Cricetulus griseus: one gene and its partner. The protein of the gene in region 2 interacts with the protein of the main gene of each other region in a pairwise test. Links are inferred from orthologs where the notes say so. Each region holds a gene or a part of one and is shown on either strand. Other genes may lie near its edges.

What was found.
Region 1: the proteins of Ldlrap1 (region 2) and Psd4 interact in binary tests that used the Homo sapiens proteins (3 or more experiments, as listed by UniProt). The two-hybrid records come from large-scale screens. The link is inferred for Cricetulus griseus from reciprocal best matches to the Homo sapiens genes LDLRAP1 and PSD4.

What each region holds. Positions count from the first base shown.
Region 1 is NC_048599.1:135,738,330-135,741,978, reverse strand, and holds part of Psd4 (PH and SEC7 domain-containing protein 4), read right to left. Parts: intron 3,445-3,649; coding exon 3,364-3,444; intron 3,239-3,363; coding exon 3,126-3,238; intron 2,925-3,125; coding exon 2,866-2,924; intron 2,685-2,865; coding exon 2,595-2,684; intron 1,598-2,594; coding exon 1,554-1,597; intron 875-1,553; coding exon 714-874; intron 1-713. UniProt on the Homo sapiens protein: Guanine nucleotide exchange factor for ARF6 and ARL14/ARF7. Through ARL14 activation, controls the movement of MHC class II-containing vesicles along the actin cytoskeleton in dendritic cells. Involved in membrane recycling.
Region 2 is NC_048595.1:18,544,331-18,547,979, reverse strand, and holds part of Ldlrap1 (low density lipoprotein receptor adapter protein 1), read right to left. Parts: intron 2,895-3,649; coding exon 2,750-2,894; 3' UTR 1-2,749. UniProt on the Homo sapiens protein: Adapter protein (clathrin-associated sorting protein (CLASP)) required for efficient endocytosis of the LDL receptor (LDLR) in polarized cells such as hepatocytes and lymphocytes, but not in non-polarized cells (fibroblasts).

The DNA.
Region 1 (3,649 bases), on a different chromosome or scaffold from region 2:
CAGCCCCCTCCCTACCGAGTGTGATGTGTTTGCCTACTTGGGGAGCACCAATCCCCTTTCTCTCTCTTCCTAATTTCCTCATCCTGGCCTTGTAGAGCAAAACCTGTTCTAAGCTACTTGGCCAGAGGGAGGCCTGATTTCCTATGGTTATCCGTCGAGTCCCACTCAGGACAGTGTTGGCCACCACATAGTGTTTAACCCGTGGTTCTATTGCAGCGATCTCTGCTCTGGTCAGGCAGCTTCCTTGGCCAAGAGCTTTCAACTGCCCTGGGAGTGAGTCCCAAATGTCGATTAGGACAGATTTTATCCTTGCAATATATCCTTTTCTGAGTGGATTCTGCAGTACTCTTTGCTCTGGAATGGATGTGCTCAGACAATGCAAAAATTCAGACAAGGTTCCATTCAGATGCCATCATTTGTCAGAACCTCCCTATGCCTGTCCCTGTAGCTAGTTCTCCAACCCTAAATACCTCTCCCTCCTCTGCCTCCATACTCTACACAGCCCTCCTTTCACCTTCACCAGAGACCCCGGAGACACTAATGTGCTTGTCTAGCCTTTGCCTTACCATGGGATTCGTTTTATCTTAGCATTTAGTTCACATTCAGGAAAGAAACACAAGTTGCTTGTTCATCTCTGTACCACAACACAGGGCCCGGTCCCTAAGTGGAGCTCTCCCTACATACACCTTTGTTCCCAGGCACCAGACACTCACTCTTCTTGCCATCAGCATCGTGATGCATCTTCCGAGCCAGGATGCCCTGCTTATAGGTGGGCACTGTGGGGTCCTGAGCCATCTGGAGGAAGGGGCTGCTTATCTTGCCAGCTGAAGGAGAGGGCTGGTCCTTCTCAGGTCTGGCTGCATCCTCTTCATCTCTGGATGGCAGAGAACCAGGATGGGAATGCTGGTGGGACAAGTACCCTCTGCCTCTTGGGGACTCAACACCTTCTCTTACTGGGGAGGAATATAATAGGAACCCCCTCAAAGAAAATCTCAGCTGGGTGTTGGTGGTGCACGTCTTTAAGCCCAGCACTCAGGAGGCAGAGGCAGGCAGATCTCTGTGAGTTCGAGGCCAGCCTGCTCTCTAGAGCGAGTGCCAGGATAGGCTCCAAAGCTACACAGAGAAACCCTGTCTCGAAAAACAAAAAACAGAAGAAGACGAAGAAGAAGAAGACGAAGAAGAAGAAGAAGAAGAAGAAGAAGAAGAAGAAGAAGAAGAAGAAGAAGAAGAAGAAGAAGAAGGAGAAGAAGGAGAAGAAGAAGAAGAAGACGATGAAGACGATGAAGAAGACGAAGAAGACGAAGAAAATCTCATTAAAAGCTGGAAACCCCTGGAAACACTGCTGTACCTTCACCAGCTCTGGCTTCTCCAGTATTTCCCAAGTTCCTCTGTACCCCACCTGGCCTAGTCTTCTGCCTCTGGCATTACCCCACTCAGGAGAACTGTGTAGGCCCCCGAACTTCTCCAGTTCTCAGGTGGGCAACAGTGGGGAGACAGGCTCAGAGGCAGGGATGCAGCGCAAGAAGCCCAGGGAAAGAGGAGTGCTCACTTACACAGCCCACTCAAGTTTCTCACTTCGGATGGACCAGTAGAGGGCCTGGAATAGAAGCATACAGATGAATGGAGGGTCTGTGGTACCTACGTTCATTTTGTTGGCAGACATCTATGGGTATAGGTAACACCTTGTCCCTCTACTCCCATCATAGTTGCCCTTCTCCTGAGCAGGCAAGCATTCATGACCCATTTATCCATCTGTCCACCCTTCCATTCCTGTGCTGGATACTGGAGACATAAAGATATCAAAGTAGCCAAGGCTCTGCCCTGCACTTAGTAAATTCTAAACTAGTCTTTTGAGAGAGAATATGACTCACTCACACACTATCCTGTCCAGGGGTATCTGATAGAGAAGGAACTTGACTGAACAACACTCACACAATGCATAATTGGTAGATGAATGAATGATGCTGGGTTAGAACTTGGAAGTAATTCATAGGCTTGCTTTTACAGTCCTTGATGTTCCTGGCAAGGTACTTAGTACACAGAAAATGTTCAATAAATGACCACTAAGTAGATGAAAAAGCCAGCGGTCCAATTGTGTATGAAGTGTGTGTGAGCCAGGCATAGTGCATGACACTTGACAGCTTTGATCTTGGTAATAACATTGTGAGATGATCATTTCTCCCAGAAGCAGCTTGAGTTGACCAAGGGGCAGAACTCAAGACATAATTCAAACTAAGATCACCCAGCTCCCAAACCTGAGACCAGGATTTGCCTTACGTGGAACTTTGTGTCTCATAAATTCGTTCAGTACTCCTGCACTTGCAGACTTCAAAGGGGTAACAATCCCCTGAGAAGGTAACAGAACATTTTCAGATGCATAAAGTATGATTCTGTACGTCCAGGGATGTCAATTTGCACAGCTGTCAAATCCCAAGACATCACCAGCACTCCCAGACAGGGACACACAGGCAACCCTTGTCCTCATAAGGACCTCTCCTCCAAGCCATGTCTGAGCTCTACTTTCCTCTTGGAACTAGAGTTCCAGGCTGCAGACCAAGAAGCAGGGAGGGTCCTGGCTTTGGAAGGCGCCTTACCTTCAGCAGCTCCTTGGGGAAGTTCCTGCCATCCTGCAGCCCATTCAGGTTGGTTATGAATTCCTGGCAGCTCATGCTCTTTCCAATGTTCTGTGGCCATGGAGAAGCGAGACAGTTTGAACATCCCACCCTGATGGAATATACCCCTAGGTGGTCACTGGGGAACTCCAAGGCCCTGCCCTGCCATATTCCCAGCCTTTGGTCCATTCTTCCCCTCCTCACCATGCCACAGACCCCCACATCAGCTCTCTAGATGCTCTCCCCTCCTTACCTGTCCATGCAGGTCTGTGTTAAGAAGCATGATGGCACAAGTCAAAGTGTGTATAGAATCTGTCCCCAAGAGAGGCCAAGCACAAGGTTCATTGGAATCTGACTTTTGTGGCTTCTGCCCACACTAAGGGTGACTCCTCCCATTTCTCTATAGCCCCAACACACTCCAGCAGCTGCTGACCAATGAACCCCAAGTAAATAGGGTTATTTTTATGCCACCCCAAAGTCCTTCTGCCCCACCCCTGGGCCCACCCTCCATACCTACTGAGGGGAAGGCCCCAGGATTGCAGTAATGGAAGCGTTTGGAAAACTGGTAGAGAATTCGTTCCCGTTCCTGAGTCTCTCCACTGAGCACCAGGGCCTGGAGAAACCCCCTGCCCAAAAAAGTCAGGATTAAGCAGAGCCACATCCCCGGGAGCTTGGGACCACTGCCCTGCAGCTGTCCCCAACCACCCCACACACCCAACTCCTGCTTCCTCTGAGGGCCAGAAGGCCTTACCGGAGGGCTCGGTCCAGGCTCTGGCCTTCGAAATGGAAGAAGGACAAGTATGCCTCAGCCACAGCCCTGCTGAAGTCATTGCTGTAGAGGGCAATGGAGATAAAGTTGATTCTGGGGATCAGGCTGAGCTGTAGGCACAGAAAGAACCCAGGGCGGCAAGAGCCAAATAAAAGAAAATATAACCATGCTAGGTGCCAGGTCCCAAGGGAGCCTGCTCTTGCTACTTTGGTCAATGTCACCTGTGATAGGCCATGTGGAATCGGGGACAGGCAAAGGGAGAAGTCAG
Region 2 (3,649 bases):
GGCGTTGGCCAAATTTAAATGGAAGGATGAGCTTGTTGAGTGTCTTTTCAAATTATGGGGGAAAGAAGAAAGAATTCTTTAGTCCTCTCTGATCCACTTGGGCCTCACAGGGAGTCTGCTTGTCGGCTGGCATCAAAAGGCTCTGCCTCTGGACACTTGAAATAGGACTATTGCATAAATGCCCCAGACCCCCACAAGCCACAGGAAGGAGCAGTGGCTGGGGAGTCCCCAGACAGAAGTCCATGGAACTTGAGGAATGCAGCCTTGCTGGAATGGTCACTGTGAGTCTGGGCAAGACACGAGCAGCTGGATTATAACCATCTCTTGGGAAATTGCTACATGACAGGATGAGGGCTAGGGATATGAGACAGGGCTGTGGCCTTACCAGGCACTCAGGACAGGGCTACCTTCCTAGCTAAGCTCAGTGCCCTCAGCAGTAGGAACTGAATGGCATCTGGGCTCTCCATGACTTTTCTTAGTCAGCTGGCACGCAGAAAGTGCACTAAGAGTGGTACTCACTGTCTGAGTCCACTGGGACTTTACACATTAGATCCAAATGACCTTTTGCTCTGAGATAACCTGTAAGCCACCAGAGGTCTGAACTACCAATAACATGACAATGGTCAATAGTCTCAAAATCCAGGGACACAGGCACAGGAGTCTGCTGTGCCCTGTCTACAGACAGGAAAACCAAGGCTCAGGGAAGCAGGTAATTAACCCAGGGCCATAGCTGGACTTTGGGTCTCTTAAATCACTGATCCCCATCCTCTATCTCTGCCCCCTTCACACAAAGCCATACAACCTGAATTCACCTAGGCAATGTCATCCTTAGCACTGAGCTCAGGACCAGATCATGAGTAAGCAAGCCCGCAAGCCCGAGTCATTGGAGAGTCGTGGGAATACTGTCCCTGGGGAGGGGTGCACATGGGAACACTCACATCTCACACACTCAGCATCGACCAGGATGTAAGGTTAGAAACACTGTCAGTGCCGACACACTGGACCACTGGTGACCTTCCACACAGTGACAGTTGCAGAGAAAGGTACCCTGCTGGCTCATCAGCAGGGAACCTGCCATCACCCTCTATTCTGGTGCCACAAGGGCATGTGGTATACCTCAGTCTTTTGACACATATCATCAAAGGGCAGGAGCTATGACACTGCCCCTCATCACCAGCAACACCGAGTGATGCTTACACTTAAAAAATGGGAACATTTATTGTTTCTTTCTTAGAGCTGCCTTGCCAGCAGGCACAGCCTGTCAAGAACACAGCACCACCCAACACCATGGCAGCCCCTCACACTCAGGACCCTGGAGCTGGTTGGGGAAAAGGAGCTACCCTGATTCCAGGGAGGGTTCTCCAAGTACCCTCCCCAAGGCAAGGGTCTGACTCAGCAACTCAATAAGAGCTGGGAACTTTAAGTCACAGTGGTGTGCTTTTCCTGGGCCTACTGAGACCTGCTCTCACAAGCCCAGCCACTGGGGGCTCCTAGCAATGAAAAGATGCTTGTGGCTTGGCTGAGATTCAGGATGCCAGAGCCCATGAGACCAGCCAGACTAAGGACAGCTCACCACTAAACTGCCTGGCCACTGGGTGGGGTAGGGGGACTACTGGGGCTGCAGTGTCAGGAAGGGACAGCGAGATGCTTCTGGAGGATTCCATTTAACCCATGGAATCAAAAGACTTCAAAACATGTCTTCCCGGAAGCAGTGTGGCAGTTAGCAGGGCATGGAGGCCCACGCCAGCGCTGTGTGGAAAGGCACCAGATGGTTTGTTATGAAACACATTTTGGTCAGAAAATAGCTGGGGCTTTTTGGTTCCTGGGAGGACAACAAAGCTAGAGAGAAAGGAGACGTGGGCTGTGAGAAGTTGGCGGTACAAACAGCAGCTTTGGTATCAGATCTGGGTTCTATTCTCATCTCCATCCCCGACATGTGTTGCCTCAGTTTCCTTACCTGTAAAATGAATGAAAAGTATCCCGCCACAGCCTAGTGCTAGGCTTTGGTATCATTCCAGGAATTATGGAGAGGCAGAAGGTGGGGGCACACAGGACACACAGACAAAACAGAACAGAGGTGATCCCTGCGGTTGTGGTAAGACTCTGGGAGTCTGGGCAGCTGGTACACTAGGTCCTAGCACTATACAGATCACCTCAGGGACTGTGGCCCTCCTGTGGAGGGAGGGCAGGAGGCAAGCTCTCCCACAGCACCATCAAGGACCTCAAACCATGTCCATTATGGGAGATAAAGTGCAGAGCTATGTGTCTTTGGTCAGGTGCTGCCTCTCGGAGGGCCTTAGCTACCAGGCCCCAAAGAAGCAGAATTTGAGGATCCCAGCTTCCCTGAAGGCCATGTCCCCTCCAGTGCACAAATAATAGGCTCTCACTGCTTGAGGAGTAAGGATGCCCCAGAGAGAAGGAACACGGAATGCTTTGGTCACTGTCTTGACAGCCACAGGAGGGGGCACTGGCTCCAGGAAAGAGACCAGGAGGCCAGGCCCTGCCCTGCCCTGCCCTGCCCTGCCCTGCATACATCATGAGCGCCTGATGCAAACCTGGTTTCCAAGCATAACCCAGGAGTCACTGACTGGACACTGCAGGCTCTTCTTGCCCTCCCTCCCTGCCTGACTGTGCAGCTCTTGTCCGCAGGCTTTGCCATCAGCTCCTTGTGATGGCTGCTCTGCTGTAGGTGGCTTTTGGTCCATCACATGTCAAGGCCAGTTGTGTCCTGCCAGTCAGTCCTAGGCCCTCAGAAGCTGAAGAGGTCATCTCGATCGATGCCACTGCCGTCAGGCTTGTCCCAGTCGGTGGGCGATAAGCACTGCGCATAATGGATGTCCTGTGTGGACAGCCCAGTGTCCAGGACTTGAGGGTTCGTCCGTGACTGTGCCAGCCTGGAAGGCAAAGCTGTGTAAGCCAAGCAACAGGAGAAGGGCTAGCAGGGCTAAATGAACGGGCATAGCCTGGCCAGCATGGGGACAGAGGGAGGGGCCATGAGTGGGGAAATGGCCAGACTCAAAAGCTCAGCAGGGAAGCTAGAGCCCACCCCCTGACAGCAGGATGCCCAAGAAGGTCAGAGCCCTGGGGCCGGCCATGAGCCCTACTCTAACAGAGGCCAGTTGTAGGTAGGAAGTGTTCAGCCAGGAGAAGACACTTGGCATAACCAGGGTGAGCATGAGCTTCCCAATAGTCACACAAGGAGACTAATGTCCAGAAGAACCTGGAGAGGTCAGTACAGCGCAGCCCTGTCCTGGGGGACGGGGAGGAGGACAGGAGTCCTAGGGTGTGAACACCTGGAGGGAGGCCTCTGACGGCACTGAGCCCATGAAGAGTCCCCAGGGCTGTGAGCTGATGGATACAAGGGTGTTCATGGTTAGGTCAGCGGACACAGTGCCAGTCTGGGCCAGGGACTACACTACACAGGGATTTGTTTGAGACTGTTAGTAAGGACCCATGACAACTGAATATTCTGGAAAAGAGGATAAAACTGTTTTCAAATATGGGGCCGGACGTTGGTCCTCATGCCGGCGTTGGTGGCGCATGCCTTTAATCCCAGCACTCAGGAGGCAGAGGCAGGTGGATCTCTGTGAGTTCGAGACCAGCCTGGTCTCCAGAGCGAGTGCCAGGACAGCCTCCAAAGCTTTACAGA